Linked DNA regions of Nothobranchius furzeri. The protein of the gene in region 2 interacts with the protein of the main gene of each other region in a biochemical or structural test. Links are inferred from orthologs where the notes say so. Each region holds a gene or a part of one and is shown on either strand. Other genes may lie near its edges. The genes, in order: dab1a, lrp2b and clu.

Region 1 (11,030 bases), on a different chromosome or scaffold from region 2:
TTGTTTCATTGTCCTGCGTGTCCTCCATTAAATCAGTGTTTTGAATGTTCCTGTCTGCCTCCCTGCCTGTTTCTTCCCCTGCACTTGGATCCTCACCTCTGTCTCACTCACCGGCATGTTGTGACAGGATGAGCCAACCCAGTAAAGGATCCAGCGGGGAGGTTCTTCCTTGGGAGTGTTTGCTCCAGTTTTTAACCGCAGATCACCAGCCGGCTTCTCCTCCTCTGGCCTTGTCTCGCCGCAGACGCCGTCGCCGAACCCCGGCTGCGACGATCCCCTCCGCCCTCCCGGAGCTAGATGTGAGGTTGGACCAGAAGACACAGCTAGACCGCTCCTGCTACGTGGGCATCAGACTGGCTGTGTGCTCCCCCAGAGCTGGCCCACGGCGTTGGGAAGGATGCCGGGCTCCACCGTCACCCCTGGTCCTGGGACGGAGCCGCAAGCTCGCTGCAGCTCCGGCTCGGCGCGCCAGCTTGGACCCGCCCCCAGTCAGACCAGCAGTCCCGTCTCCGGTCCAATCAGCGCCTCCGTCATCTGCAGGCGGAGGGACCATGCCTACAGCCCAGCTGACAGAGCTCGCCGGCCTCCAGGCAGAGCTTGGCCGGATCCGTCAGCTCATCAGCCTCCAGGAGTTCCAGCTGGACACCCTATCCTCCCCTAATTACCAGAAGGTTCCGGTCCAGTCTGCAGCTCCCTCATCTCTTGGCCAAAGGATCAAGCCCACAGTCCACCCAGCAGAGCTCGCCAGTCGCTGAGCTGGCCCAACTCCATCAGAACCTCAGTCTCCAGGAGCTCCAGCTGGACAATCTATCCTCCCTGCTCTCCCAGTTTCCGGCACCACTAGTTCAGTCAGCTCCTGTTCCAGCGGTGGTCCCGGTGGATGCATCACAGCCAGTCCCCGTGGTGGTCCCGGAGGTCGCACCGTATCCTGTTCCAGCGGTGGTCCCGGAGGTCACGCCGCGTCCAGTTCCCGTGGTGGTCCGAAAGGTTGCACCGCATCCAGTTCCAGCGGTGGTCCCGGAGGTCACACCGCATCCGGTCCAGCCTGTCCAAGCGGTCCCGTCTGCAGCAACTCCTCCTCCACTCCAGAAGCCGACGGTCCAGAGGCCAGCAGTCCAGAAGCCGACGCTCCCGGACCAGAAGTCGACGCCCACCGGACCAGAAGTCGATGGTCCAGAAGTCGACGGTCCAGAAGTTGGCGGTCCAGAAGTCGACGCCCCCAGACCAGAAGTCGACGCCTCCGGACCAGAAGTCGATGGAGGTCGACGCCCCCCATTCCTGAAGTCGACGCTCCTTCCAGTCCTGTGGTCGACGCCCTTTCTAGTCCTGAGGTCGACGTTCTCTCCAGTCCAGAGGTCGATGCTCTCCCCAGTCCAGAGGTCAACGCTCTCTCCAGTCCAGAGGTCGACTCTCTCTCCAGTCCAGAGGTCGACGCTCTCTCCAGTCCAGAGGTCGACGCTCTTTCCAGTCCAGAGGTCGACGCTCTCTCCAGTCCTGAGGTCGACGCTCTCTCCAGTCCTGAGGTCGACGCTCTCTCCAGTCCTGAGGCCAATGCTCTCTCCAGTCCAGAGGTCGACGCTCTCTCCAGTCCAGAGGTCGACGCTGTTTCCAGTCCAGAGGTCGATGCTCTTTCCAGTCCAGAGGTCGATGCTCCTTCGTATCCAGAGGTCGACGTTCCTTCGTGTCCAGAGGTCGACGCTCCCTCGTGTCCAGAGGTTGACGCTCCCTCGTGTCCAGAGGTCGACGTTCCTTCGTGTCCAAAGGTCGACGCTCCCTCGAATCCAGAGGTCGACGCTCCTTCGTGTCCAGAGGTCGACGCACCTTCGTGTCCAGAGGTCGACGCAACTTCGTGTCCAGAGGTCGACGCTCCCTTGTGTCCAGAGGTCGACGCTCCCTTCCAGTTCAGAGGTCGACGTCCCCTCCATTTCAGAGGTCGACGTCCCCTCCAGTTCAGAGGTCGACGTCCCCTCCAGTTCAGGGGTCGGCGTCCCCTCTAGTCCGAGGTCGACGTCCCCTCCAGTCCAGGGGTCGACGCCGTCTCCAGTCCCGTGGTCGACGCCGTCTCCAGTCCATTGGTCGATGCCGTCTCCAGTCCATTGGTCGATGCCGTCTCCAGTCCAGTGGTCGACGCCGTCTCCAGTCCCGTGGTCGACGCCGTCTCCAGTCCCGTGGTCGACGCCGTCTCCAGTCCAGTTGTTGACGTCCCCTTCAGTCCAGGGGTCGACGCCGTCTCCAGTCCAGTGGTCGACGCCGTCTCCAGTCCAGTGGTCGACGCCGTCTCCAGTCCAGTGGTCGACGCCGTCTCCAGTCCAGTGGTCGACGCCGTCTCCAGTCCCGTGGTCGACGCCGTCTCCAGTCCAGTGGTCGACGTCCCCTTCAGTCCAGGGGTCGACGCCGTCTCCAGTCCAGTGGTCGACGCCGTCTCCAGTCCCGTGGTCGACGCCGCCGTCTCCAGTCCAGTGGTCGACGCCGCCGTCTCCAGCCCAGTGGTCAACGCCGCCTCCGGCCCAGTGGTTGCCGCCTCCATTTCCGGCCCAGTGGTCGACGCCGCCGTCTCCGGCCCAGTTGTCGACACCGCCGTCTCCGGCCCAGAGGCAGACGCCGCCACCTCCGGCCCAGAGGCCGACGACGACACCTCCGGCCCAGAGGCCGCCGCTGCCGCCCTGCTCTGTGTTCCAGTGGGCGTCTGGAATCCGCCCTTTGGGGGGGGGGGGGGGGACTGTCACACCCTGTCCTGTCTCCCCATTCTGTTCAGTCCTGTGTCCATGTTAATTGCTCCCACCTGCCTCTCGTCTCCCAATCGCCCAAGGTCCCAGCTCCTCCTGTATTTAAACCCTGTTAGTCCATTTTGTCTGGTTGGCTCATTGTTTCATTGTCCTGCGTGTCCTCCATTAAATCAGTGTTTGGAATGACCCTGTCTGCCTCCCTGCCTGTTTCTTCCCCTGCACTTGGATCCTCACCTCCGTCTCACTCACCGGCACGTTGTGACAACTTTAAGCTTTACATAATCAAAAAACTTATTTGAAAACAGCGCATAATGGTGATCAAAATATATGTCTTGCAAGGTAATCACTAAAAATCTGAAATTGTCAAAAGATGTAAACTAGCCCAGCTAGGGCTGGGCGATATGGACCAAAACTTATATCTCGATATCTTTTAGCTGAATTCCGATATACGACATATACCTCGATATTTTTCCTCTTGTAAAATATTTACAAGATAACTCACTGCAAACTGTCTTGAGAAGTTATATACATAAATCAGTAGATTAAATGCATAAAAATGTATTGATTCTTGTCAAACTTTAACCTTAGTGCCTATTCTCTACCAGTCAGAGCTTTAGAAACACTGGTACAGTACATCTGTCTGCTAACACACAGTTTAGAGCTAGAGGTGTATCACATGTCCCACAGGCACTTTTTAATTATATATTCATAATTAATGTAAAATTATTTAATTATTCAAACCCTTACAGTATGTTTGAGGTGATTTGGCTACTCCAGCTATCCATAGATGTTTCCTCATTACACAGGGGAGGGAGGGGTTTGGCTTGTCCCTCCGCACATTCAGGATGGATAAACAGAACTCCGTTGCCTTTGAACGCCCCCAAATAATTAAAAACCAGGATGCCAAATGCAACGTTTAGAGCAGCACATTTACCCAGAGGCTCTCAGATTGAGCAAACTTGTGAGAATACATTTAATGACCGCTTAGAGACGGAGCAACATGACGCTAGCATAGCGGCTAATCGCTAGCATAGCAGTTTGACCAGTTATATCGATATAAAGATATAAAATCGTAGTCATCTTGCACCTTGTTTAAAAATTATTTCGATATTTAAAAAATATCGATATATCGCCCAGCCCTATTATGTGCTGTGCTCACTATGCTACCAATCTAGTGCTTGGACAATACTTGCACATTGGTATGCTTGTTGGTACTATTTTTTTATTCAATTGTCCACTTTCTGCTATGACAATGCAAATTTCCCACTTACTAATAAAGGATTATCTTATCTTATCTCAAATATAGACAAGCTGCACCATTTATTTTGGTTAAAGAGAAAACATTTTCTTAGCCAATAAATTAGTATTGATGTTACAAAATATGAGATTTCAATATTGAGCAAAATCCTTGTGTTTTAAACGTTAGAAGAGTCTGAATCTGTGTACATATTGTTTTTACCAGATTTTGAATTCTCTAAAATAAACAAGTAAGTAAGGCATACAACGCACACGTGGGCCAAAGCTTTGTTAAAATACTCCTTGTGCCAGCTATATCTAAGAAAAATGTCAGACATGGACACACACACACACACACACACACACACACACACTAAGTAAATCAATGTTATGGGCTTCCAGCCAATAACCTCTCAACTCCACTTCTGCCTCTTTGTGCAACAGCACAATCTTAGAAAAAGAATACAGCAGAAAGGTACGTAAAATGTAAATTTTTCATGTCCTTTCTTTGGATTACTGTTCCAAAGAAGTACAAATTCAACATTTGTCATCATTGTTCATTTAAGAAAGACATGAAAGGGTTTGTGTGAAGTCTTTTTGCTGCAGCTTGGACTCATACTGAGAAAAATTCACTGTTCCGTCATGAGTTGGAGCTACACTCAGACACCTGCAGAGCCGTGGACTGTACTGTGATGGATGGAAAGGCAAAGGTCTCGACACGGGACACAAAGGAATTTTCCTCTGAAATGCTTAATATTTGTTACGGTTCAGAGTAAAGGCACTGTAGAGAAAGTCAGGCACATGCTGGAACCAGCACAACTTTCATGCTGACATATAATCTACGTCTCTACCAGTTTCACAACATAGTCAAACGATAAGCACCTCATGCTGCACCAAACTCAGAGTAATAAAAATAAAAACATCTATTGGAGAAGACATAAGTAAAGGTACAAAGATCTCAGATGTGTCATTATTAAAAGTGAGATCATCCTTTCCTGCGGGGACTGTAGTTGTGCTGCTTTCCACTGCAGCTGCCTGCTCATTGTTTTCACCAACACTTATTTAAAGAAATGCCACTGAGACCCAGCTGCCGCCTCGTTGAGCAGGTAACTTGAATGGGCCGTCAATTTATTTTCATATTGAACTGTATCCATAGCAACACGTGCCAATATGTTGCCTCAACAAAACAGGCAGCGACATACGCTGCAACAATTATTTGAGTGTCTTAGAAGAAGAGTTAGAGTTATTTTGTATTTTATGAACTTTTCTTCTGATAAAAAATGGCGTTTTTGAATGTTTACTGGATTTCTTTGGTTTTGATGAAACTTACTCAAACAGGTGTGACACAAAGGACCTCATCCCCATTCAGGGTAGTCATGAGGGTGTGCAAAGACCTGAATAAGTACAAGGTATCAGCGGAGAGTCGGAATGGGGTTTTTCTCTAACTGGAACACAAACTCACAAAGAGAACCCCCCCTTTTAATGTAAAAGACCATGAAAGGTTTCAGGAGCCGGAAAGGTACAACCCTGCTTCCAAAGCTGTCTCGAGGTGAAGATAAATCAAACATGTGCTTTCTGTGCAGGACTAAACCTAGCATCCATTCAGAGGCATTGTCTGTCATCAGTCAGCACACATGCAGCCTGTAAGAACATAAGTTGTGAAAGGTGGGCTGGGTTGAGAACAATGGCGCAGAGCAGGAAAAGGGGAAAAGGGGAGGAAGACGTAACAGAATGAGGAGGAAAAAAGAACCTTCTTTGAGAGTTACAATGCTCCGTGGGTTTCTATGACAACCTGGAGCCGCCAGCTGGGCCCAAACAGGCGAAAGAAAGAGAAGTTTGGCTCAAGTGGAAAAAAGTAGCCAAATGTTCTTTGGATGAAGCAGCACCAAAATAAAGGAATAAATAAATAACATCAACGGAGTTTCTCTTTTAAAGTGAACTCATAATAAATGTCAACTAAATACAATTAAATAGTCGAGAACTATAAAATTGTTTAAATTGATAGCAGGAAAAAATATATGCATGCTCCTTTGAAGCAACTTGTTGATTTTAATTATAAGAACATATCTGCACCGCTCAGATACAGGACAAACCCAGAGTTGTGCACCTGCTGCTGTATCTGCGTCTGATGCAGGCAGGAGCAGAGGAGGGTGAGGGTCTGCAGAGCCACAGCCATGATTAATGCGGCTTTTAGCTGCAGCAGAGCGGGCCCCTCAGAGGGGAAAACCACCGGACTGCGCTCCCTCCGTCGCTTCTTCCCTCTCTCCATCATCCAGAAGTCGTGTAGCTGAGAGGCAGATCGCACATGTCACGGACACATTTCAATACTAAAACTTCATCAGCGTAGCCTCGACAGTTCTGCGTGTCAGCCAGTTTCACCCAAACGCATGAATCAGAGCAACCCTCCGTGCGTAAAGGAAGTTTTTTACGCTGTGACGTGTCATTAACGTTAAGATGGGCTCAAGTTGCACAGGATGGGGAGAATACAGCGTGAACAATAATTAGGTTGAGTCACGGACGAGCTGCTCCTCTTAAAGATCTGCGCTTAGGAACAGTGGTCCAGAGATGCAGACGCCAAATGCAGCAAAGCTTCCTTCTTTTTCTTCTCCTCCCGCCAAGGAACACACAAGCACCCCCTGACCACTCTGTCTGACAGAGGGGGTCACTCCTCCACAACCGCCAAACACACGAGCATCCGCGCGCGCACTAAACCCCCGATGCACCAGCACCAGCAGCAGCAATAGAAATTTTATTGCAGTAAGAAGCCGAACACAGCAAATCCACAGACTTCTCCAAACACCAAATAACACGCACACATTCATAAAAAGAAAGTGCACACTTTGCGCACGGTCTGCGCAGAATTCCTCCAGTTTTTCCGCATCACTTCAGACTACAGCGCACTTACCTTTGCACTACAGCGAAAGTGAGCACAGTTAGTTCCCATTTCCAAGCGAGGCTTTTAGAATCCAGTCATCCCTGAGTCTGCTCCTGGTTTCCTGAGACATCCACAGCGTGCTTCAGCAGGGACTCTAATCCAGTCTTCCATTCCGGGGAGAGCACTTCCCAGCTTTGTTACATCTTTTTCCACAATTCTCACAAAAGTAAGCCAGCGCTTCTTCTTTTTTCTTTTCTTTTCTTTTTTTACTCCCCGGTCCTCTGCCCCCTCTTCTTTCCTCTCCCTCTCTGAGGTTGCCTGGTTACCTCTTTCTGTAGGCTGGATCAGACCGCCGGCCGGCAGCCAATCACAAGCCTGAGTTTGTCTTAACCCCTCCGTTGCTGAACTGCCCTGATTTCCATGTTTCAAGGGTGGAGGGAAAGAAGTGAGGAGGAGATGCGAGGAACCGAGAGGTAGATTTAGAAAGTGAAATATTTAATAAAGGAGGAGGAGAGATGGGGAGGGAGTGGGGAGCACGTGGTCAAACCTGAGGACATGTCTCAGTTTGGACCAGGGGAGGATTTAGGACTGAAGAAGATCCGGGGCTTAACACACGCGCACACGCACGCACACACGTGACACGCACTAGTCAACATCATATATATATATGACTTGTACCACATAATTTTTAATCTGAAGCTACATATGAAGCATATTCAGGGCAGAGTATTGTTCCTGTTAGTGTTTAGTGTGAGATGATAGTAAATATTCCCTTTCTTTCTCCAACAACTTTACCTGATAGTAAGCTAACTTTAGGCAAACCAGCAGCACAACAAATATTTTCTAATAAGACTCACAAACCTGAGTCAGCACCAGTCTCATCAAAGCTGGGGTTCTGTCGCCGTACTTTTGGTCTAAAAAACGTCCTTATGTCCATCTTCACTCATGCGTTTCAGGCAGAGAGTGTAGAAGAAGCCGGCTGCTGAAGGGCTTCTTCTTCAGTGGTGGAGGCTCAGGCAGGCTGTATACAAACTACTGCCAGCTGCGCCCTCTCTGTTGGACTTTGGTACTGCATGTTACTTCTGCGATTTAGATCCGGGGCTTTCCATGAAAGATCCGGGGCTTCAGCCCAAGTAGCCGGGCCTAACGCCGCCCCTGGTTTGGACAGTGTTGGGGTTCAGTCAGAGGATGACTTTGCTGGCCAGACTTCATCGTCTTCACACACCCACTCATTTACTACACACATAGTAATGCTGGCAAAAACACTTGCCAGCTCATGAATGCTCTAACTGGTGCTGCAGCCTTCATCCTGTCATTCATTACACGTTACTGATTAGATAACCACCCACAGTGAAGTCATGCCACCCTCATCTTTGCTGAATCATGGATTTGGCAAAGCCTTCACTCTGTCTAATGTTTTTTTTTCTCTCATAAAGTTTCTCTTAAAGCACATTACTAGTTTTCAGTGAGAACTTTAAAGAACTGAAGGCTTGGAATTTCATGAGGGTGTGTGTAAGGCTCACCAAGTTTAAGAGGATATATAATGCAAAACCCACCTTTTGTGCTACCACATAGGTCTCTACCGCCAAAATAAACACTAAAAACGTGAAAAAGTCCATCTATCCATTTTCTGTCAGTGATTGGATTGGAATTATGCCTAAAACAACACATTTTAAAAAGTCCCCATTTGTTATGTCAAAAAATAGAACAGAGCCACCCCAGCAAACATTCAAATGTTTAATGGCCGCTGAAACGTCAAACCGAGACGTTCCGCCATGGTTGAAAAATAATTCCAAAATGAAAGTTGAACTGACGTCTTTTCTGGCCGTGACATAAATGTCTTTCAGCGCGTGTCTTTTGGATGTTTCATAATAAAATTATTATGGTCACGGCCGTGGACATCTGACCAATATATGCTGGGATATGTTTGTGTGTGTGTGTGTGTGTGTGTGTGTGTGTGTGTGTGTGTGTGTGTGTGTGTGTTTCATTGCCTAATTTCTTTCATTTTTATCGCACTCCTTTTTGGGTGATAATGTTATTGCCTGTCTGTTATTTTGTTGCACAGATTTGGCTACAACTTTGTTTTACAGATGTGAAGTTTGGTTAATTTGAAGCTGAGTTGCTTGATATTTTCAGTACCTTCCACACACACACACACACACACACACACACACACACACACACACACACACACACACACACACACACACACACACACACACACACACACACACACACACACACGCACAGCTCTATCTGCTCTTGAGTCAAAGACAAACCCAAGTCAAATAGTCCAAAGTTGATTACGCCAGTTCAAACGAGCTGTCGCCATCTTTGCATCAGTAACATCCCGCCCACCAGCAGAGTGCTGCAACTGGCCAACCAAACCAACAGAGAGCTGTGATTGGACCGCTACGGATGTCAGTCCACCATCTCATTGTGAAAAAATGGCATAGAACATAAAAAAAACATTAAATAATACAAAGTTCGTGTAAACAAACACACTGAGTTGGTTACCATAAGGACCTATAGGACGGGCTGGAATTCACCCAGAAGGAATAGTAAATACTTTGTAAACATTAGTATGTCAACATTTTAGGGATACTTTTATAGAGAAATGACTGTCTAAGAACAGCCACAAAGCCTGCATGACAAATATTACAGTTTAACAAAAAGACAACTTGTCTAGGTCAATGGTTATAAAGATCAACCATTGTGCCCATTTGTACTCAGTTTGGCCAGCATCTTGTCTCCACATTCAAGGCTTAGTGGTATTAGAAATAATAGAAATTGTTAAAAAACTAAAAACTAAACAAGCCTCGGCTTTTTCTCCTCCTGTGTCAGACACAATAAAATGTGTGGTCACAACATTTTCTCAGTCTAACAAGCTTACATGAGTTATGAAACCTTGTCCTGCTGCAGTATTTCTTTCTGTTTCAGACTAACTCGATGAGGGCTGAGTTGCCTGCAGGTGCTAGTCCAACTCCAGAGCAGCAGACCTAAATATTTTTCACCACCATATTTGTTTTAGCTAAATATATCTGACTCTGTTACTGGTTACTATGTATTCACTGTGAAATGCACGCATGTCTCCGCTTTGACCTGTAGGATTAAAACGGGATAACCTTCCTTTTTGAAGATCAGTTGAAGGTTAAGTTGCTTTTTCATTTCGGATTTTTACAGAAAGCTTGATGAATGGATGACCTGATGGATGTGGTCACGCTCGGTCAGCCAGAACACGCCGAGAACACAACACAGCCACTTTCTACAGGGTGTTCTCTTGAAGGACTTTCTGAAATTGAAAGTATCTTTAAGGTACCTCCAACACCAAATGCAATCCCTTGTTTTTGCTTAATGACAAACCAATATTCACTATGTACATTGTCTGGAAATTGACTCTCATTTTCTTAAGACACACACTGAACCATTAGTCCCACCAATTGCATTAATGGTTGACCAATCTATCAGCCAGTCTAGAGTTCCCTCCTCTTGGATGGAGGCAACTGTTACACCAGTATTTAAGAACGGGCTAAAGACTGACTTGGCTAATTATCGACCTATAAGTATTCTACCCATCATGTCCAAAACTGTAGAAAAATGGATTGCTGTTCAGTTAACTAGCCATCTAGATGAGGGTCAATTTCCGTTGGACCAATGCCAGTTTGGGTTTAGGGCTAGACACTCCACTGAAACAGCTCTTTGTTTATTCATAGAGCAGGTCAAAGGTCTATTAGATACAAATCCATGTGTGGGAGCCGTATTTTTGGATTTAAAGAAGGCCTTTGACACTGTAAACCATGACATTTTATTGAACAAACTCACTTATTTCAACTTCTCAAGTGATTGCATTCAGTGGTTGAGATTATATCTCAACAACAGAACACCATGTTTAGCTATGAACGGTGTCAGATCTGCCTCTGTTACTTGTAAGGTCGGAGTTCCACAAGGATACATTTTGGGACCAATACTATTTTCTATTTACATAAATAACTTACCGACCATATGCCCTGAACTTAACACAGCTATGTACGCTGATGATGCTGTGATCTTTGTTCAGGGTAAGGACAAGAAAATTGTTGCAGAAATACTTTACAAACGCCATGCCCAAAATCCAAACCTGGCTAAAGGAACACTTTGTACCTGAACACAAAAAAAAAACAGTGTGCTTGGTGTTTACCTAAAAACCTGTCAAA
Region 2 (11,030 bases):
GGGTCCTGAGCCTGTGGATGACTGTAGATGACTGGCTGGACGTATGACCTACGGATGTTACATCACCACTTTTCGAAACATTTTGCCAGTAAAATAATTTAACATGAATTTAATAACAAAACTTCTGAACTTTCTAAAACCTATGTGAAAGAACAGAATGGGAAAAGATGCAATATATTTTAGCCGAGTGGTATTGCCGTAGTTTGATGACATCATTGGCAGGCACAGTACCCTGAGCAGATTAGAAATCTACAGCACCAGAAAAATGCAATCGGCATTGCATTCTCTCGATGGAACTGAATGAAGACAAAACAAACTCTGATGAGTATCGTTGAGGTTGCATGCTTTCTGCTCCACAGGTAACAACATTCACCGTAATGTTTTTTAAACTAGCAACAGGCACAGTGATATGGTGTAAAACTACCCCGAAATGTATGTACTGCCCCCTAGCACTAGGAAGCTACACACTGCCACTTTAACAATAATGGTAATGCTAATAAAGAAGCCCTTATTGTAAAGTGTTACCTGTTCTTTCTGTACATGCCATTTAAGGCTTGTTTGAAAATAAACTAGCCATTCATTCATCATGACCCTCACTGGTAAAGCTCCTTTCAGAGTTATGGGACTCCAAAGCGCATTACACTACAATGTATCATTCACACACGCGTGCGCGCGCACACACACACACACACACACACACACACACACACACACACACACACACACACACACACACACACACACACACACACACACACACACACACATTGATGGTAATGTGAGCTGCATTGTAGCCACAGCTGCCCTGGGGTGCACTGACAGAGGTGAGGCTGACGAGCACAAGTGCCACCGATCCCTCCAACCACCATCAGCAGGCAATGCGGGTTACATATCTTGCCCATGGACACAACAGCAGCATTCTCTGCTGGGGTCTGGGATCGATCCTACAAACCAACAATTAGCTGTACATCCTGAGCTACTGCTGCTGACTAATGTTAGTCAACCTGACAAAGACCAAAATCCAGAGAAGTAAAGAGTTGGCCCCCAAACTCTCTAGATACCAGTCCAATGGAAGCATCTGTAGAAACCAAGCCCAACTCGCAACCTCTTCCCCTTAGATTCACAGGGTTCAAAAGATGTCTGATATCCAGGTTTTCAACACTTATTTCCTTTGTGCATGGTATAATGGGTCTGTGTTGGTGTTTTGTTTAATTTACTCACTGCAGTTAAGTTCATCAGATCCATCCCTGCAGTCTTGCAGTCCATTGCAGTGCTGAGAGTTACTGTAACAGGCCCCGTTAGCACAGGTCTTCTCGGTGCACTGTGGATAATCTGTAGGAAACAAGCTTACTCCAGCTATTAAATAGTTGCAATTTCAGAAAAACCTTAACTGATTTGAAAGCAAAACATCGGATACTAAACTATTATGATGCATCACAGACAGAATAAGAATCTTACTGCAGTTCCTCTCATCGGAGTTGTCCACACAGTCCATCATGTGGTCACATCTGTAACTAAGAGAGATACACTGGCCTTCCTGGCAGGTGAACTGGTTTGGGCTGCAGGTTCGTCCACCTGAAACATGTAACGTCCAAAAGGGTCAATTTTCACCTATATATTAACCAACATAATAACCTTTCATCTACAGAAATAAATCCACTTTCTGTTTGGCCTTCCAAAACCAGAAGGTTCTGCTCATTGCGTGTTTCCATAAAGTAGATAAAACACCCAGACAAACATTCTCTCCCAAGGTTCCTGCACTCACTGCATGAAAGCCAGACATCAACATTCTTCACTCTGAATAAATGAAGACTCCATGATTTTAAAACTCATAAACTTACAATAATCATATGTGATGAATGAACAAGATGTTTAAAGGGACTTTACGGAGTTTTGAATTTTTATGCTCGCGATTGCCCCTTCAGGCCAAAAGCATAACGGCAGCTTCAATAGTAGTCTCGTGCACGAGGCGGCATGCTGTTCGTGCACACTCCTTAATCAAAATAAGAGCTGAGACAGTCCCTTGTGTGTGTGTGTGTGTGTGTGTGTGTGTGTGTGTGTGTGTGTGTGTGTGTGTGTGTGTGTGTGTGTGTGTGTGTGTGTGTGTGTGTGTGTGTGTTTGTGTGTGTGTGTGTGTGTGTGCGTGTGTGTGTGTGTGTGGCCCAGAGGACAGAGGGCAGGAGAACGTGCAGCTAATTAATTAAATAATTTGGTTCTGTATGCTTCATACACAGCCGACAAAGGTTTAAGATGGGTCAGTCCTGCATGTTCAGATCATTCCCTTCCCTTGCTTGAAAAATTGTTCCAAAATAAAATTTGAACCCACATCTTTTTTATCTGTGAATTCAATGCCGTTCGGCGAGTCTCAAATAAAAATTTGGGCATCTTACTGTAAAAAAAATCGACCATTAATGTAAAAAAGAAACTCTAAATAAACTATGTTCACATCCAGAATCAAACCTGGATCTTCTGCACGACAGTCCGACATCTTACTGGGTGAGCTAAACTGCTAGTAATGTCCTTTGTATCTGTAACATTTATATCCTTTATGACAGCTGAAACAATGTTCAAAGAACGATTCGGAGCGAAAATGGCTATTTTGTTGCTAATTTGTAGGAAATATCTTGAAGAAAGTTCTACAGAAAGTAGCTAAGAGTCCTCAGAAATGTAGCTAGCTTTGTCACTAGGCGTTAGGAACAGCGACAAAGACTAAAGCTACTGATAGCAAATGCTACGGGCTATGCCTGAGCGTGAACGCGCATGAAGCAGCCTGCTCGACCTGAGCAGCTCTCTTTTTCTGTGATTTTACAGAAAAACAGGCAATCACAATAAAAATGCCAGGGCTCATTCTACAGGACCAGGGCATTGCAGGAGAATGTATGAAGAAGACATTTATTATTTCCATACATGTTTTGGCTGTCAAACTTCCATAATGCCCCTTTAAATGAAATGTTTGAAAAATCTGTGCTTAAATCAATGAATTTGAAATGAATATTTTTCTTACAATGATCCATTTACATCACAAATCACTATGTGTTTGATTTAACAAGTTAATCATTGTTTACACTCATACACATTACAGTAAGATACATATTAAGGTTAATATTCACCTCACATAAGAGTTTTAAAGATTCTTATTCACAGTGTTAAGAAATCTTTGTATCTGAAGAAGGGCGTGGCTTTCTGAGGGATGTTGGTAAATATGTCACACAGTGGAATGTGTGCTTTATGTTGCTTTAAATTATTTTAATAATTGTTGGAATTTCTTAACAGTTTTGTGTTATTGCATGATTTTGTTGTGTGTTGTTGGTTTTATGTGCATGTTTAGTTTAGATTGTTTTGCCACTGTTGACATGACAGTCACCTGAAGAGGTGGGCATGACTGTGAAAGCGCACCAAGTGTGCATAGTTAGCAGGCTGATAAAGGAAGGAAGCTGCAGAACTGCAGGAAGGAAAAAGAGACCAAAGAAACAAGAAGGCAGAGGGACTGGACTAATATAAGAGGACGTAGCACAGAACGGGTTGGATCGTGGGAGGAGCAGTTCATCCTTGGCGTGCAGCGACAACGAGTGGGAGCAACGCCTTTGAATGACAGCAGGGTGGAGGTAGGACCTCTGCCTGCATCCGTGAGTAGACGGCTTCCACTGTTGTATGTTGGGTGATGCTCCGAATGGGCCGATCCTACGGGAGGAGAAAGAGATTGCACTGCTTCACAGACAAAGGTTCTGCCCCAGTGATCTGTCCTTGTCAGGGAGGAGCGGCGAGAGCCCCCGGGAGATCACGCCTGAGACGAGCGCCTGATGAGAGCGAGACCAGAGACTGCTGGAGTCGGACGCCGAAGCCGGGACGTCGCCTTTCCCTTCCTGGAAATTCCCTCCGCGTGACTTTGTGGATCTCGGAGGAGCCCAAGTATCTTTGGGGGTTTTCTTGAAGAACAGGTTTTAATTGCTTTTATGGACTCAAACTTTTTTTTAGTTATATACTTTTAGACGGGGGCTTTATTTAGTTAATAAAAGAGGTCGCAGACAAACTTCTGCTCTCTTGTGTCTGTGTCCCTCTGGTTTTGCACCCTCGCTCTCCACCTGTGTCATTGTGAATCCCTGGTGTGGCGCCTGAGCTCTGCAGCTCCAGTGTTGCCTAGGTTACAAATACTCAGAAATGTGTCAAATTCTGATTGGCCAAACTCGGCCAAAACTCATAACAAAGTAGTCTAATAAAACAAGAATTACTTCCTGATTAATTCAGTTTCCAGCTGACCCCTGATTCGGCCAAATCGGGAAAGAAGCCTCTTTAGAAACAAACTCCTTTGACCTTAAGGCAAAACTTTTCTGTGACGCTGCAAATGATTACAGACACAACAGATCTTTTCAGAGCTACTTCAACTCTCAAACATCCACCTTGGATGCTGACAAGCATTCCAGCTGCCTGTTGTGACCTGGAGACATCTCAAGACTGGACGGGTCGTATCAGAGTTAATCTACGGCTTCAAATATCTTGAGGTCACCAGACTTCTGGCAGTTCTGGATCTGCACTAAGGGTCTCCACACGGGTAGTAGACACAACAGATTGCGTCTGATGAGGTTTTTATCAATAACCAATGCTCTAGTTTATAACAAACAACAAATTATTTTACAGTCAGATTTCACAATTTCTCTCAGATACAAAGAACGGTTGCTACAACATCAAGCTTCCATCACAACATCTCACATCCACCACATCACATCTCATTATTCATATCTTGTCATGTATAAAATGTTAGTTTGGGAAAAATAATTAAATTCATTTTATAAACTATGTACTGACTGTCTGAATTAATACGAAGTGTGTTTATGGTCCCTGATGAAGCAAAGAACCCTAGAATCTTCTGATTAAACATTCAAAGATGAATCAGATTGATATTTCATATTTATATGGAATCATCACATCTTATTGGTCATAATTAATATGTTTTAATGAATGTGTTATGGCTTGGGACGTACCTATAGGATGACCTAAACTTTTCAGAACTTAGTTAAAATGTTCTCCACAACTCTTACTAAAGTCTTTATTACTACCATGAAATGAGTCTAGAAAACCACATGCATTTGTGTTCAAAAACTACAAGAACATATCTTTAAAGGACAGGTGCAAATCATCTCAACACGAGTCTTATGGCAGCAAATAACTGCAATCATGGCAATCATTTTATTTGCACATATGACACGTTCTAGTTTAACAGATAGTTACTTCTGAGGCGATGTTGCCATCTAGTGGATTCTAAAACATTTCAGCTAAAATATCTACAGTTATTTAATTCCTTTTACCAATATGATAGAAATTATTGTAAACATACATTTTAACACTTTAGAAAACATAATAAAATCTTTGGTTTGTGTATTTTACCGCAGGTTCTCTGTTCATCTGAGCCATCGACGCAGTCCTCCTCCCCATCGCAGACAAACCCTGATGAGATGCACTCTCCACTTGTCACACACTTAAATTCCTGTGAAGTGCAGGATGGAGGTGCTGCCACAAAATAGCAAAACAAGTGATTTTTTAATCAATATTCATTCACCTTACATCACTTAACTGCTAGTCAGGTGACTTTCAATTTAAACTTTTAGCTCTTATCAATTGTATTTTGTTTAAAATTGACATTTTTAGCTCGTGTTGAGAATGATGCCATCTATATTGCAGATGGTTATAATACTTACGACAGTTGAGCTCATCTGAGTCGTCTGTACAGTCTTTAGTTCCATCACATCGCCATTCTTTGCTAATGCACTGACCATTGGTGCACTGAAACTCATTAATGCCACAGCTTCCTGCAAAAAAAAAAAACCCTCAGACATTTAATTATACTCATTTTTTGATGGGCATGGTGTGAGCTGAACTTCATTCAAGTTTTTCTTTCAAGTAAAATATATATTTTCTAAATAAGCTTTTTTTAAAACTCCTAAGTTAGTTTTTGTGTTTGGTAGAAAATGGCCTTTAGAGATGACACCAGAAAAAAAAAATCAACAGATATTTATCATTTACAATATTTTAGCATTTGAACATTATTTTAAAACAATAAGAAATATAATCTAAATGTGTTTCTTTTTTAATAATTGTGCACCAAGATCCAATATCAAAGCTGCTGAACTTGCCCAGGTCACAAAGTGTTTTATTACAGAATTTATAGCATTAAATTAAATGTTTGATGTCCGTGTCACCTCAGTAAAAACATCACATATTTTCCTATGTTTTACGAGTGAGCGACCATGTTTATGACAGTTAAAGTTGCTTCTTGTGCAGTATCTGAAACTTGTGGCATGTGATCTGGTCTTTAAAGAATAGTTAATTCTTCACCTTGAATTGACACGATCTTGTGATCCTGAAATATATTAAACTCTCAGACCAGATTTCAAGAACAAATGTGCTTTTATAACTCTGGGATTCAGATTTATTTATATTTATAGAGATTATTCATCAGGATTACTTGTTTTCAGTTTGGGAAAGCAGAGAGACAAAAACAAAAGAAACATTGCAGACATTTTCATACAGATCAGTGTAAATTAATATTGATAAAGTGTGCTTCCATCTAAGATTACTGCAGTTTATAACTTCTACAGATTATCACAACCTTCTAACTTACCCCGTGTAGTTTATTTGTATCTGACTGCACAGAAAATTTACTCCCATTTAAATCTATAAGTTTTGAGTTGGTTTAAACTTTAAAGCAAATGTTGTCATGATACCATGATGTTGATGCACAAAGTTGTTTTTGGTCAACAAATAGGATGAAGAAAGCATGAATTTATCCTGCAGCCATCACTGGCCATCGCTCAGAGCTCCTATTCTTTTATTTGACCCATATTTGCTTTAGAATACAGCAAAAACACAAGGAAACACATACCTTGTACAAGATGAAATCCTTGGGTCAGCAGCAGTAAAGACAAAACATGAAGCCCTTTTAGGCCCATAACTGAACCTTCACGTTCCGTCTCCAGTGTTTCTCAGCTCTGGTGTTAGTTTGATCAGCTCTGAGCTCTCATGTTCCCTCTGCACCCACGGCTCTCCCAAACCCAAATGATCGTGGAGGAGATAACGACTTTGGAACTGAGATGCTTGACCCCAACCAACCAGCAGATCAGTAATGTGACACAGAGTTATACAGGTTTTTATGACTTGCTGTTTTACATAAACTTCATCTAAGATTAACTTTTACCTGTGGATGTGTGGTCCACGTCAGCAAAAACACGTTGGTGTATTTTTGAGGCAAGAAGGTGAATGTGAAAGGTTTAAGTCAGATTAAATATAATAGTGTCTGAAATAGTTTGGATACAGACAAAAGTTGAATACGTTTTTTTTGTTGAAATTAAACATAATTTAATGACAATTTTACATCAGAGTCATGAGTTAATTTCTGACCTCTCATTTAAAATCTGTATGGTTGCATAAATGTTTTAAAACAAAATAATTGGATTTTTAAGCAAATCTGAAAAGTAGATAAAAAGAACAAAGATATAAGAACAAAATCACTGATATTTTTTTTTTTTTTTTTTTGTGAAAAGGGTTAATCATTTAATTCATAGAATGGAAATCTTTGCATCCTAAAACTGACCCCTAAGATCTTTGGCTTCCACGTGAACTAGAAGATGCTAGATGGTCATTAGATCAGTGTATTAGATATTGGTAGATACATGAAGGGCCCGGCTGATACACCCAGGTTTGTCATTTACACAGTACTGACCTTTGAACTATAGGTTTAATTTTACCTAAACCTCCACATATAATAAACATGTTTTAAGGCATGAACATCAAAAATGCATGGAGTGCTTCCAGGGTGTGAAGTGGTTGTGAGTACCTCTGGTGCTCTTTAGTTCAGGGATACAAGCAATACAAAAAAGAATTGGATCTTAGGCACTCAGGAGGATGAAAATAGTCAAAAAACCTTTACTATCCCATGGCTAATCAAATAAAAACATGTCTACTAGCTTCTTGTCCTATTTCGTCATTGTCTCTCCTCTGGAAATGTCCAAACCGTCTCAGTCTTGCCTCTCTGACTTTATCTCCAGAACATTTAACATGAGCTGCCCCTCTGATGGACTCAGATTAGATCCTATTCATCGTCGTCACTCCCAAAGAGAACCTCAACATCTTGAGCTCTGTCTTCTGTCTTGTCCTCATGGACACTGTCTCTAAACCAGACAATATGGCTGCTCTCACAGCTGTTTTCTACATCTTTCCTTTCATTCTTGCAGAAACCTTTTATCACTCCTGACACTTTTCTCCATCCAACCTGCACCACATGCTTCTTCATCTCTTTTCCACCCCCTCTGTTGCTCTGTAGACCCTAAGTCCTACAGCACTTCACTGCTGTCTCACTGCTCTCATGCATGTTCTGCACCACTCTAACGCTTCTCCGCCACTCCGGACCTTTTCATGCACCACAGCTCCTCTCTCATCTCTCTTTACTTATTGCTCATGCTAGATACTTTATTTCACTATAAGTTCCTTCATTTTCTTGGATAATAATATAAGACTTACCCACAAGATGCATCACACAGCATTTTTATATCCATTAACTGCCACATCATTGAGGAATTACCAAGAAACTGTCGACAAGCAACTTTTGTTCACTTTATTGTTTTTTATGACTTTGTTACAGCAGTTCTGCTCATCTGGTTTATTATAGCTGTGCAGCAGAAATCAGAAGCTCAGAGTTTCTCCAGAAAGGCAAATTAAGTTTTATCAGCATTTCCTGACTGCAGGAATGATGCTTTGTATTAAGACCATTTGTTTTTTAAATTAACAGACTTGAAATCCGCCCAATCAGATGTTGATACGTCACTGAAAATGTTGATTCCCACATAGAGAAATTCAAAATGACCTCTTATCGTAAATGTGAAACTATTTAGGCTTGATTCTGTCATTGCTCTGCAAAACTACAATAAAAAGATTGACTTTTCTCAATGGGAAAGTGAGTCAGTTACTCTTTGTGAGAACACCACCAGTTGTCCTCTGTTCTGGTTTCTCAGCTTGTTGTTGAATTATTTTTAAAAATCTTGTAAAATCGGTCAATCAAAGTTTATTTATACAGCACATTAAATGCAACAATGTTGCCCAAAGTGCTTGACATAAAAAAATGAACAGTCAATTAAAAAGACATAAAATAAGCACAAAAATAAAATCAGAAAAAAAAGTCATAAAAAACAGGACAACCCTTTAAGCCCAAGGTGTTAAAAACTTAGGAGTAAAAATAAGTCTTCAGTAACTTAAAAAAAAAAAAGATGATGCCTGCCTAATGGTGATTGGTAACATTTTCCAAAGAATAGGTGCCACCACTGAGAAAGACCTAAAACCTCTTCTCTGTAGCCTCGCCCTAGGGGCATTGAATCTAAGTTGTCAGCCGACCTCAGTCCACAAGATGGAACACAATGCACAAGAAGCTCAGAGAGATAGACAAGTACCCTAACCCTAAACATTTATAAGCCAGAACCAAAATCTTAAATTGGACATGGTATTTAAACGAGACCCAGTGTAGAGCGGCAAGAACTGGAGTGATATGATTCAATCTACAAGTGCCAGTCAAAAGACGGGCTGCAGCATTCTGAAGTAGCTGCAACCTAGCAATACATGCTTAATGCCATGGTAGACTATTGCAGTAGACTAAACGAGAAGTTCCGAATGCATGTATGAGCTTCTCTAAATGGTTCTTAAGCAAAAAAGACTTCACCTTGTAAAGATTTCTCAGCTGAAAAAAGCATGATTGAACAACATAATTGACTTGTAAATAAAAAATAAGCTGAGAATCAACCTTAACACCCAGATTAAACACAACATCCTTTGCACAATTCGAAAGGCCATTCACCAAAGACTGAGGAAATACAGGAGAACCACTCGGTGCCAGCATAATTAGCTCAGTCTTAGACTAGTTAATCGGCAAGAAATTACAGCTCATCCAGTCCTTAACCTCACAAAGGCACATTAGAGCTATTTCCTTAACTTTAGTGGGGGCGTAGTCATCTGCAAAAAAATGAAAGTTAAGGCCGTATTTTTAAAAATAGCACCAAGTGGGAGCAAGTATAAATTAAAAAGGAGAGGGCTGAGTACAGAGCCCCGTGGGACCCCATATGAGAAGAAAATCACTCGAGCTAAAACTTCCAATCCTAACCAGAACTGCATGCATTATCATGTAGATTATAGGTCTTATACAAAAGCTGATTAAAAATAAAGACAAATGTGACCAGCTTTAACAATTTCTTTTAGGGAAGTCGAACTGCTTTGCTTGATATCATAATAACATTTTCTTCATGGGGTAAATCTCTGACATCTTGGGAGGGCAGTTTATGTGTAAAAATGATCCTCGCTTAACCTCTGTTTCATGATGTTTTGTAATTTTTTTCCCACCTGAGATGATTCTTATGGGAACTTCCGTTAAGCCAGATGCAAGCAGGTGGAATGCCAGTAAAAATTCACTCAACCAGTTTTACAGATTATTTCCTTGTAAAGAATGATAAAAAAAAGGCAAGAGCCACAGTACCTGTTTGTTTGCCATGATTGAGGGAACTTTCAGTGAGTTTTATAAAATTTCACTATCAGTTTTCATGTTGTTACAATACATTACTATCTTGCCTTATTTTTGGTGGACTTTTTACCCCAGAGAAATATTTATTTGCAGCTATTTTCAAGGTTCCACATCACCCTATTTTAAACCTTTGAGAACAAATACATGGACGTAATTTTTTTTTTGGGGGGGGGGGGGGGGGGGGGGGGACATGTCCCCCCCACTTTTTCCAAAGTGAAGTTTTGACCCCTGCACTTTTTACCATCCAAAAACAATATTACTTTATATTAAATTGACACTGGTTGAGCTCTAGGACCAAGCAGAAAACAACCGTTTGTGTTGAAGCCTGTTTCCCATTAGAACATACTGTGAAGATACCCCCACCCCCGTGTCCCCCCCACTTCTAAAGTGAAAATTACGTCCATGGCGCAATATACGATAAAATACTATCGCTGACACTATTGAGATGTCATTTATCTTACAGTTTTTCTCAATTGCT
Region 3 (10,930 bases), on a different chromosome or scaffold from region 2:
TTAAAAAGCACATTTTTTGCAAAGGAGACTCGGCTCAGACCTTATTAGGCCTTCCTGTAAGGAGTTTCTACAGCGGAACTAACTTGTTATGACCCTTTAGTTGTGTTTGTTGCAAAAGTAGGACTGGAGGTTCGGAGGCGGACTCAGTTGTGTTTAGATGAATTTGGAGCGTTTTGTGAACAGTTCAAGTGCAAATCCAGATGAATTCTATTTGACCAAACTAGAAGAGAAAGACAAAGAAACCAGAAGTCACTGATGCAGATTTTGGTGGACATCACTGTATTAACAGAAAACCTGCAGCTGGCTGGAAAACATTTTTTATTTTCATACTCACACGCTGGTTTCCTTGTAACGGTCGAGAGCCTCCTGAGCCACAACCTCTGAGAACTTCGGGTCGGTCCAGGGGATGTCGCCTGAGATGGTGAAGTTCATGGATGGAGAGTCGAAGAGCTGCACCGACACTCTGGTGTCTGCAGGCTCCTTCTCACCTGATTGCACCTCAGGGCCCGTAGCCACCACCTGCAGCGGGAAAAAGAGCTGAAAAGTTATGTTTAAAGTTTTATTCTATACATTTGCAGAGATCTCTGGTAAATGTGTTGTGAGTCAGTCTCTCGCTCCCATCCCAGGAAGTAAAAGTTGGCCAGTATAGCAGACGGCAGGTTTTGGAGTCTTATTTCCCGATTTTCAGACCTCTCGCCCCTGATTGGCTAACAGAAACACAACTCTACCACTGCATGTACTGGAGTTGCTAATGCTAACTGTGAGCTTCTGCTAGCAGAGATGTGCTCCGCTCTCTTCTGGACACTAAAACAACAGCAGCCTTCCTCGGTTGCGAGCCAAGATGGGTGAGTCCATGAATGTTAATTTGTAATGTGACGTTGGCTTTTCTAATCTGAACGTTTCCCCGGCTAATGCAGGAAATAGGGTTTCAAGGCTTTTTTCACGTTCAGTCAGCATGTGAAACTCTGAGTGAACGATCATATCTCAAAATGAAGTAAAATACTGTTTCTCTGTGAACTTGTTTCAAATAAATAAATACACTAAAGAGTTTTTCACACTTGAAGCTGTTGAATTCAAACTGGTTTCAGTGGTTCTTGGGCCATGAACTTGACCAGAAACTTTACTTAACAGTTTTGTGGTTCTGGTAGGAACACTTGGGAGGTCTCTACTTGCTGTTTACTGTGCAGCTAGCCCTTAAAGGCTAGCAGTTACCTTTTTCAGTTTGCAGACCTTTAATAAAACACTGAAGAATAATTTTGCTTTTTTTTTGTATCATGGCGGAGCCTCGGAGTAAAAGACCTGATTGCACCTCAGTCACTGAAGTGATTCATTCATACTAGGTATCACCACTAGAGGGCATCCTTCGCCCTTTTTTATGATTTTACCCTCACTGTGAATAAGCTTGTTACTGTTGCTACTAGATGACTACAGATGTTGCAGAGTAGACCTATTATTTTCAACTTCCTTTCTGGCCCGGCCTGCCAGACTCGTCCTCTGATAAATCTGCACAGAGTAGTGATGTGACATTCATGAACTAATCAAATCTTTTGAACGGGTTTTCAAAGTGAATGACGAGAAACGAGTCCCTGTAGAGAGCTGTTCATCTTGTCGTCCGGTAGCAAACCTCCCTGGAAGTTGGCAAAGCGCACCCGCTCAAACCCCACCCACCGCTGTGACGGACGTAGGAGGAACGCTAACCAACCCTGTGTGCCCTCATGGACACCGCAGGAACACGTTGCTCTTAATATCCCCCCCGCTTTTAGCGCTTCCACTTGTTGTGGTTTTAAAGACATTCAAGTCATGGTGTCATGGAGGAAAGCGCTGCAGCGAACTCCGCCTCTGTCTTAGTTGTTTATGAGAAACTGAGCGTCGTTGTGTGTGACAGCGCAAACATCTTTCATTAGAAGAAAGGCTTTTAGCGCTTCTACTTGTTGATTTAAAGACGTGTCCAAGTAATTTAGAACAGAGGAAAGAGCTGCAGCGAACCCTGCGTCAGTCGCCATGTTTGACAAACTCGGCTTTATGGTGTGTGACTACGCTACTCAGTGCTGATTGGCTCGGTTAGAATTCTCAGGGGGCGGGGTTATTTGAATAGGAGAGCTCCCAGACCCTTCTCTGTGCAGAACTAAACAGAGGACGAGTCTGGCAGGCCAGGCTACTTCTTTTCATGTATGAAGGGAAAATACGTTACTTCCCACAAGACTGTCTTTGCAAGGTTACTGTGAGTTTTCAAACAATGAGCGAAAATGTGTAATCTACCTTTCAGAACTGTGTCTACCAGAGGTGTGGACTCGAGTCACAAGACTTGGACTCGAGTCAGACTCGAGTCATTATTTTTAATGATTTCTGACTTGACTTGATAAAATCTATAAAGACTTACGACTTGACTCTGACTTGAACACCAATGACTTGCGACATGAATCGACTTGCATCTGTTGACTTGATCAGATTTGATATTTTAGAACAAAAGTGGCACGACATGGACAAAAATCATAAACCATTCTTCGTTCTGGGTTTGATTTACTGCTAAATGAAGCAGCACTTTGTTTAAAATCATTTTCACTTGCATTTTCTACTTGTTTGAGCAAATAAAATAAGCTTTATTTCCGGGATTTATTTATTATCATTGTCATTAAATTGAAGTTGGACAGATGACTTGATTATGACTTGAAAATTCAAAGTTAAGGACTTGGACTTGACTTGGACTTCCACATCATTGACTTTGGACTCGACTTGGACTTCTCTCGAGACTTGACTGGAAAGACTTGTGACTTGCAAAGCAGTGACTTGGCCACACCTCTGGTGTCTACCACTAGGGGCAAGTGGGAGTTAAAATGGATGCCTCATACCGCTATATGTGACGTAGGTTTCGACTAAAGCTTGGAAAATGAATTCTTGCCCATTTGTGCTGCTTTCTTTCTGTCGACCATAACAAGTAGTATGTTTGCTGACTCGAGCGTGGAAGCCAATTACCCTCAGCTAGCACCCGAGCCACGCACCATTACAGGGCGAAGCAAAGAGCTAAAATCAGAGTGAACATCAGCGTGGACTTCACTTGTTTGAGGGAGCTAAAGGAGGCTCAATCGCTGACTGATGGTGACCTGGCTTTGTTGCTACTGGACTTTTATGTAATATTATTTTGGCCAACAGTGTGGATCTTTTTACTTCGTGGCTTACTAATATATCAGTTTCTTTATGTTAGCATTAGCTCGTTGTTAGCGCTAGCTACAGCAGGCTGTGGCAGAGTTGTGTACGACAGTTGTAATTTCGTCTTCAATCAGTAGGAGGGAGAAGTGGGAAACTTATTTAGTGGTGCTTTAAGTTGACTAAAATGTCATACCACCTTAACATGGAAGATGCCGTCCTGGGTGTTGTTAGCCAGAGACGACACCCAGCCGAACTGCTTGTTGAGAAGGTCCAGGATGGAGGAGGTGTTGAACATCTGCTCCTCGAACCTTTTCAGAAGGACGTTGTACTGCTGCGTGAACCGCTCGGCCATGGCTAGGGCCTCCTCCAGCTCCTCCTTCAGAGGACCCTCCAGAGGTTTCTTCCCAGAGCAGTCTGTTGGGGACAAATGTCAAAAATGATCCGACAAAAATCACAAAAGCTGCACAGAGAAGCCGTTCTCACAACAGACACCTTGATGGAAGCACAGGTGTGTTAACGAGGGCTGCATTCCACTCTGGCTGCAGCAGGTTCCTGCTAACGAGCTGAACTTCTAAATGGAATGCAGCACAGGTTAACACGCAGGCAAGTCAAAATATTAGACTTGAAGTAGGTCAGATTTTAGAAAACACTCTTATAAACAATGATGGTACAAAAACCAAAACAAAAAAACTGTTTTTCTTCATTCAAAGACAAATGTTACAATTTTAATAATTGGTATGTGAAAACAGGTCAATAGAACAGGAAGTTGATTTATTATCAATAATACATCAACACTCTCACCAAGATGCTGGATTTCTTTGCATTTCTCACACTCATCACGGAACTTGATGCAGCCGGCAGAGTTGCGACGAATCTCCCTGCAGGTCATTTTACCGCTCCCAAAGGGCCTCGTAATGATCACGTCCTCGTTCACGCTGCCGTCTGCAGGTAGCGCGCACACGCACGCACACACACAGAGTCTATTCAGTCATTAAAGAGCAAGTCACCCCCTACCAGAGTATTACTCCACTCCTACTTCCTGTTTGAAAAATGCAACAAATGCTGTTGCCTAGCAGACTGAGAGGGCGGAGCTCTAACAAATACACACTCACACAGGCTCACAATGACATTGTGACATCATATGGTACCAGCTAATGTTCTAGGGTACCTCTTAGCCAATAGCGATGGCAGATTTAAATTCAAACGCAGTGCAGAGTTTTTACCTGACAACAGCACAACACTGACAGTTTTAGGCAGAAAATTAAAATTTTAAGTAAAATGCACTAAAGTGCAAAACTATTGACTACACGTGTCTGCAGCACGATTAGACACACATTTATATAGTTTATCAGAAAAAAAAGTTGATTTGGGGGTGACTTGCTCTTTAAAGGTTACAGGTCAGGAGTTTACTTTTAAAATTTGACTGTTAATTTGACAATTAAAATATACTTTCAAAATAAAAGCAAGCAAGCAAATGGACAGGACATTTTAAAAGTCAAAAGAAAACTTTATTTACTAAAACATTTATTTGTCAGGTAAAAATGGTCAAATATATCTCAGGCCCTGTCCACACGTAGCCGGGGATCTGCCAAAACGTAGATATTGTCCTACGTTTTGGCCTGTCATCCACACGAAAACGGAGTTTTTTCACACGAAAACGGATCTTTTTAAAAACTCCGGCCAAAGTGAAGATCTGCGTTTTCTCCGTTTTGGGTGTCTGCGTGTGGACAGGCAAAACCGGAGTTTTAAGGTCCGCAACGTCACTTTCCGCGACAAAACAATGCTGACAATCACGTGTGCGACCTGTGTTTACACTGGCCGGCATCATGGAAGCCCTCAGAGCTGCGCTCTGTCACTACCCGATCCATCAATTGTCCAAGCGCTTTTTGCTCGTTTGTTTTTTCAAGAGGATTTACTGCTCCTTGCGGAAGACCACAGACGAAGGACGAGGTTAAGAACGGGGGAAGTACTGCCGCCTACAGGTCTGGCATGTCCTTAACAACGTATTTATCCGGGTACGTGTGGACAGAGTCTGTTTTTAAAACGCGGTGGTGTGGATGCAAGTTTTTGGAGGGGTGGATATTCGTTTTTAAAAAACCCCGGCTACGTGTGGACTAGGCCTTAATCAGCATTAATTTACCCTGATTTGTTGGAGTGTCAGAGTCCAGGTCTGTCATGGCATCCATGGAGCCAAACAGGTTCCTGCCCATCATGGGGGAGAACAAACTCTGGAAGTTGTGGAAGGGATCGTGGAAAAGCGTGTGGATGCTCCTGCTGCGGCGCATGACCGGAGCCAGGAATCTCGGGAAAAAGAACATGGGAGGGTGGACATGATCAGCCACCTGGGAAAAAAACGCAAACAGCTGATTAGGTCATTTTTTATTGTTTCTGTCAAAGCAGGATTGGATCACATGATAAAATGTCCTTTTCCTATTGGAAGGGGATTAGAATCTCCAGCAGATCCAGTACTCCTGGTGTCGTGTGCTAATCCGCGCTCGGCGATACCTTCATGCTATCTGAGAAGATGCTCTCCACTCCTTCTGACATCTCTGTGTATTTTTCTTCCACGTTCCTGAACTTTTTGCTCTGTCGCCGTCCCTCCTGCTCCAGCGTGTCGATCCGCTCCCCGTTGATCCAGATGGAGAAGGGAGATGTTCTGTTCAGCACATCCTCGAGCTGTGGATTCAGAGAGGACGTTTGGCTTTGATCAAAACCTTTTTCAGGAGTGGCAGGTTTCCCAGAGAAGTGCGTGTGTCTGACCTGGCGTCCCACCAGCCCAGATCCACTGCTGCAGGTACGGGAGTAGTACTTAATGCAGGTGTTCTTCAGGCAGGGCTTACACTCCTCCCACAGAGCCTTCATCGTCTCGTTACAGACCTCCTCCTCCTTCTCCAGTTTGGCCTCCATCTCCTCAGCCGTCCGTATCGCCTCCTGCATCCAAACAAAGCTCATCACATATAAATGAGTCTAGAAGAATTTTTACACATAAAATACATTTCTTCCTGTCTTCTTTACCTCCTTCTGCTGCTTTGTTTTCTCCAGAGCATCCAAAAACTTCTTGTGGTCTTCAGAAGATTTCTGCATCACATTTTTCATTTCCTTCACGCCGCCAATGGCGTTTTCAATCTGTTTGTCCAGATACCTCTCTCCCTGGACGGAGATCTCTGAAGATCAATTATGAGAAAATGAAAATGTCATGTAGAAAATATCAGTTTGAACCTGGGAATCTGTCCGTTCAAACTTTACCATTAAGATCTTCCCTCGATGGCGGGAGGATGCAGCTGGCCGAGGACAGAAGGGCAAGAGCCATCACAGCCAGGGACTCCTTAGAGCCTTTCTTCTTCATCATCATCATTATTATTAGCATCCTCTCTGACTCAAAGGGAGCTGGAAATGACGAGTAAATTAAAAAAGAAAAGTTTAAAGTTGCTGTAATGACAGTGAGGGTCCAGCAGGGGGAGACCTGCGGCTGCAGAGGAGACGGATGGATCTACGCTGCAGAAAAATGAGATGTTTGCTCTGCAGTTTCAAGCATTACTCAGCAAAACACCAAAATAACTGATCATTATGTTTGTCTTGAGCTCACACTGACCTCAGATCAGCCCTTCCTGTGACACTGACCGGCTGTTCCCGTGAAAAGCATCATTATGAAACCAAACAGCAGGACCTTTCTCTGTTTACCCATCCCTCTCTGAGGTCAGCTGATTCAGCAGACTGCCGCTTCAGATTGTTTTATCTCCTCAGACGCACGCAGGATAAATAAAAGACGAGGAATCTACCAGAAAGACGAACTCTCATCTGTGTGCTGATTTATCTGGGCGGTGTAATTAATGTTCTCTAACACTTCACACAATCATTTTTTGTCTATAAGCACAGGAAACATTTAGGATTTGCATCTCATGCTGGAAACAGAAGATTTCATGTTAAATAACGAAGACTAAATGAATGAGTCATGGTTTAAATAAACAGAATAAAACTAAAACTCCCGTCTCCATGGCAACACATTGAAATTTGCTGCTGAAAGTTACAAAATAGAAACATCTCCTTAAAGAAAACTGTTTGCTTTTGCTGATGATGTCATTGTTTTGCAGAAGAAGAGTTGGTGCAGATTTTTTAGGAGAAAATAGTTATTGAATGTTTAGATCATTTGTGCTAAAATGACGCTTTACAGCAGGGGGTGCCCAATCCTGGTCCTAGGGGGCCGGTATCCAGCACGTTTTGGTTTTAACCCTGCTTCAACACACCTGTTTTCAATCAGCAGGTGATTAGTAGGCTTCTGCCATTCAAAGCGGCTCACTAAATTATAATGTCTAATACAAATTACAGTAAAAGAATAAGACAAACATTCAATCCTAAATCTGCAGGGATTTGGTTTATTCCTTGGAAAGGTCTCTGCTGTTGCAAAATGGTGACATTTGAATTTGTGCACGGCGCCTTACAGGTAACCAAACTATTGCAGGAGTTGGCAGATGGATGAAGGATCAGAGGATTCGTTACCAAAAAAACACTCAACTCCTAACTAATAAATCACCACGACAACTCGTCTTCACAATAAAAATATGTACTTCCATTTTCTTTGGTAGTAGAATATACTCTTCTCGTGTGGAATTAACACATCAACCAAGCACCAAACTATGCAGCTGACAGAAATTTTGATATATGAAACTTCTAGAAAATATAAACATCCAAACCATGGATATTTTGTGAAACTGAAGAATCCAACAGATCTGATGGTTTTGCTCTACGTTAATAAAAACTAACAGTTTTAGGTCTGGATTTATTGGCCTTCAGTGATTTAGTCTGCTGAAGTTTCTCACGATTATTATCTCAAGGTTCTTTTATTGTTTAGTCTGGGCCGAATCAAAACAAACAAAGCTGGTTTAGATGTAAACGACTTTATTTTTTCATCTTTTAATCACATTTTATGGTTTATTATTGTCCACCGTCACCTTCACGCCCACCATCACCACCTGTTTCGATGGTAACAAGAAAAACACAGAAGCAGCAGCTTCTTCATTCCAAACCACCACATTTATGTAATCACCAGATCAATGTTTAATGATTTTCAGGTCAAGTTGAGTTAATATTTTGTTTGAACAACTTTCATTTTTAAGGTTATTCAATTTAACTGCAGGCTTAAAACCCACTGCGGAAGAACAGACATCATAAAACACAAAGAGCTCATGATTTATTTGATGATAAATCTCTGGTAAAGCATTTTTCATTTTGTCCTAAACATTTAGATTTTAAATATCAGTTGTGGAAACAGCAATGTGAAAATATGGCAAACTGTAGTGGGTGGAAAGAACAAAACGTGCGTCAGAGGAGAGAAAACAGCAGAGAAAGTCAGACAAGGTAGGAGTCGGACGGCGTTGTTTGCAGAGCCACAGCTGCAGGGATTCTGGTTACACAACTGAAATACCAACACTCCTCCAGATGTTGCAGCACCCTCCACCCACTGCACTACAGATGGACTTCTTAATAGTTTGTAAAAAGACAAGATTGCAAAGATTGTTTTTCTTTTCCATAATAACCAGTTATCGTTATTATTATTATTATTACTACTACTACTACTATTATTAATAATAAACTTTCATCCTAAAGAAAATTTAAGCCTGCAGAACATCTCCTTTGGAATTTAAGAGACTCCTAAGCCTATTTTAATGTTTTCACATCCTGCATGAAGCAATTAAACATAATATATTGTTTTTGCTGTATTTTAATATTTAGGATGAATGTTTTTGATGTTTGCATTTAAAATCAAAACACCTTCATCCTACGGAGATATAAGGTTATAATTAAGGTTCATGTAAGGTGAGAACGACTAATCTTTTCTGCAAATGGGACGCTTACACGTGTGGCCCCATTTCCACCTTATTTTAAGTGTTTGGGGATTTGTGCACCCAGAAGGAACTTTTTTTAAACAGCCATGCAGAAAATCAAGGTCATCTTTAAATGAACACAAATAAATCATGTATAAAAACTTTAAGTTCTGTCAGCGGGATCATAAATTAACAGCATACATTGATGCTGTTTACAATGTCTGTTAGATAATAAAAAAAAACTGACAAATTTATTGTTTTGGTTGAATTTTCTTTTCTTATTTTGCAGTGTTTATGCTGATGTCTGTAAGGTAAACCAACCAAAGAGTGACGTCATCTAAACTAATCCAGTTGCTTTTAATCAGGTCACACCCGTGGGTAAGCAAAACAAACACCAGTCATGCATGTTTGCACCATAAATCAACAGCAGAGACCTAAATAATAGATTTTTAAAGATTCTACTTACAAAATGTTATTCTTATTACAATTATCATTTGACAATAAAACAGTATCTGAAGCGGTTTGAACTCGAAAAAGCATCATTTATCTTAATGCGCATCCCTTTGGTGCAAAAGATTAAAAAAGAAAGAAAGTTCCTGAGACTCACCTCTGAATTTCCTGGATCTGAAGCCACACCAGTGCCGCTGCTGCCGGTATTTATGTTCAGCAGGAGGCTAACGGGAACGGTGCAGGGAGGCTGCAGCATCAACGGCGTCCCAGCGACGTAACAACACACCAACTTCCTGCCTGACCCTTCAGAATAAAACTAACAGGAACGTTTAGTCGAGTTGAACACAAACAAAACGAAAGACATATTTAGTGTTTGAAATTCATGGCAAACATATAACACGAGGATTTATTGAAATAGAATGACATTTAAAGGTAATGCTACAGATAGCTGGTTGTTAGCTGATAAGCACACTGCTCCTAAAATGTTTTAATGAGATACACAAAAATATGTATTTGTCTCAGTGAGATTTAATGTATTGTTTGATTTTATTATATTTAGAAAAATGGAAGCGATAACAGATCATTTTGTCTACAATACATCTTTTTTGCTAAAATAAGCTATGCTACTAGGTTACTTTTTAATCTCACATTACTGTTAAATCTTTTATTTCTTCCATAATTTTCACATTTGTGTCACTGAATAAGAGCGGACTTCAAACAGAACAAGGTTTAAGCTCCAGTGAGATTATGTTACTTGTTCAAATTTACCTTCTTTTACACAAATGTGGAGTAAAAAAACAAACATTTATTTTGAAATGCAACCATGTTTTCGGTGACTGCAGCGTTTATTTCCGGTGACTTGATGGCCGTGACGCATGACGACCTTTCCAGAAGTTTTCAGATTTATCGGCAGAGCTGAACGCTGCTGAGCAGGGAGACAAACATCTGATTCACAGACTGTGACTCATCTAAAATGTCTGATGTTTCCAACCACAACACAACCACCACTTTGAAACCAGGATGAGCAACATGGAGCTTTGTAATGCAACAACAAGCAGCATTCTTTACACTGATGACACATTAAATGATTGTTTAATATTTGGTAAGATGCTTTCGTGAAAATAACATTTTCCTCCATTGCTCAACTCTGCTCAGAGCAGAAACTATAACTTGCAGGTCACCAGACAAACACAAAGAAGCAAAAAAGGTAAACAATCCTGCAGACTCATTAGTTCAAAATCCCCAATTAACACGACCTACATAGTTTTTGGCAGGAAGTTGCAGGAAAACATGAAAAATGCAGTTCAACCCAACACACCACAGTGTTGCCTAGTTGTATTTATCCAAGCTAAATATTTCTGAAACTACCTTGAATGAATTCTGCATAAAAAACTAAATTTATACCTAAAGTGTTGTTTTTTAGTTGGTGAACTAAACAATAATTCATATTAATTACATTAAAATTTCTTTCAAACTAATCTGAAAGCAAACATGAACAAAAACTCACTGGC

The links.
Region 1: the proteins of lrp2b (region 2) and dab1a form a complex in vitro, tested with the Homo sapiens proteins (2 studies listed by BioGRID). The link is inferred for Nothobranchius furzeri from reciprocal best matches to the Homo sapiens genes LRP2 and DAB1.
Region 3: the proteins of lrp2b (region 2) and clu form a complex in vitro, tested with the Homo sapiens proteins (3 studies listed by BioGRID). The link is inferred for Nothobranchius furzeri from reciprocal best matches to the Homo sapiens genes LRP2 and CLU.

The regions. Positions count from the first base shown.
Region 1 is NC_091748.1:41,689,713-41,700,742, forward strand, and holds the start of dab1a (disabled homolog 1), read right to left. Parts: upstream 7,265-11,030; 5' UTR 6,868-7,264; intron 1-6,867. UniProt on the Homo sapiens protein: Signaling adapter of the reelin-mediated signaling pathway, which regulates the migration and differentiation of postmitotic neurons during brain development.
Region 2 is NC_091756.1:35,640,143-35,651,172, forward strand, and holds the start of lrp2b (low-density lipoprotein receptor-related protein 2), read right to left. Parts: upstream 7,107-11,030; 5' UTR 6,945-7,106; coding exon 6,878-6,944; intron 5,805-6,877; coding exon 5,694-5,804; intron 5,506-5,693; coding exon 5,383-5,505; intron 1,576-5,382; coding exon 1,459-1,575; intron 1,333-1,458; coding exon 1,222-1,332; intron 1-1,221. UniProt on the Homo sapiens protein: Multiligand endocytic receptor. Acts together with CUBN to mediate endocytosis of high-density lipoproteins. Mediates receptor-mediated uptake of polybasic drugs such as aprotinin, aminoglycosides and polymyxin B.
Region 3 is NC_091742.1:12,219,485-12,230,414, forward strand, and holds the start of clu (clusterin), read right to left. Parts: upstream 9,724-10,930; 5' UTR 9,577-9,723; intron 6,535-9,576; 5' UTR 6,515-6,534; coding exon 6,394-6,514; intron 6,312-6,393; coding exon 6,163-6,311; intron 6,079-6,162; coding exon 5,908-6,078; intron 5,824-5,907; coding exon 5,653-5,823; intron 5,490-5,652; coding exon 5,288-5,489; intron 4,090-5,287; coding exon 3,949-4,089; intron 3,562-3,948; coding exon 3,344-3,561; intron 520-3,343; coding exon 335-519; intron 221-334; coding exon 208-220; 3' UTR 1-207.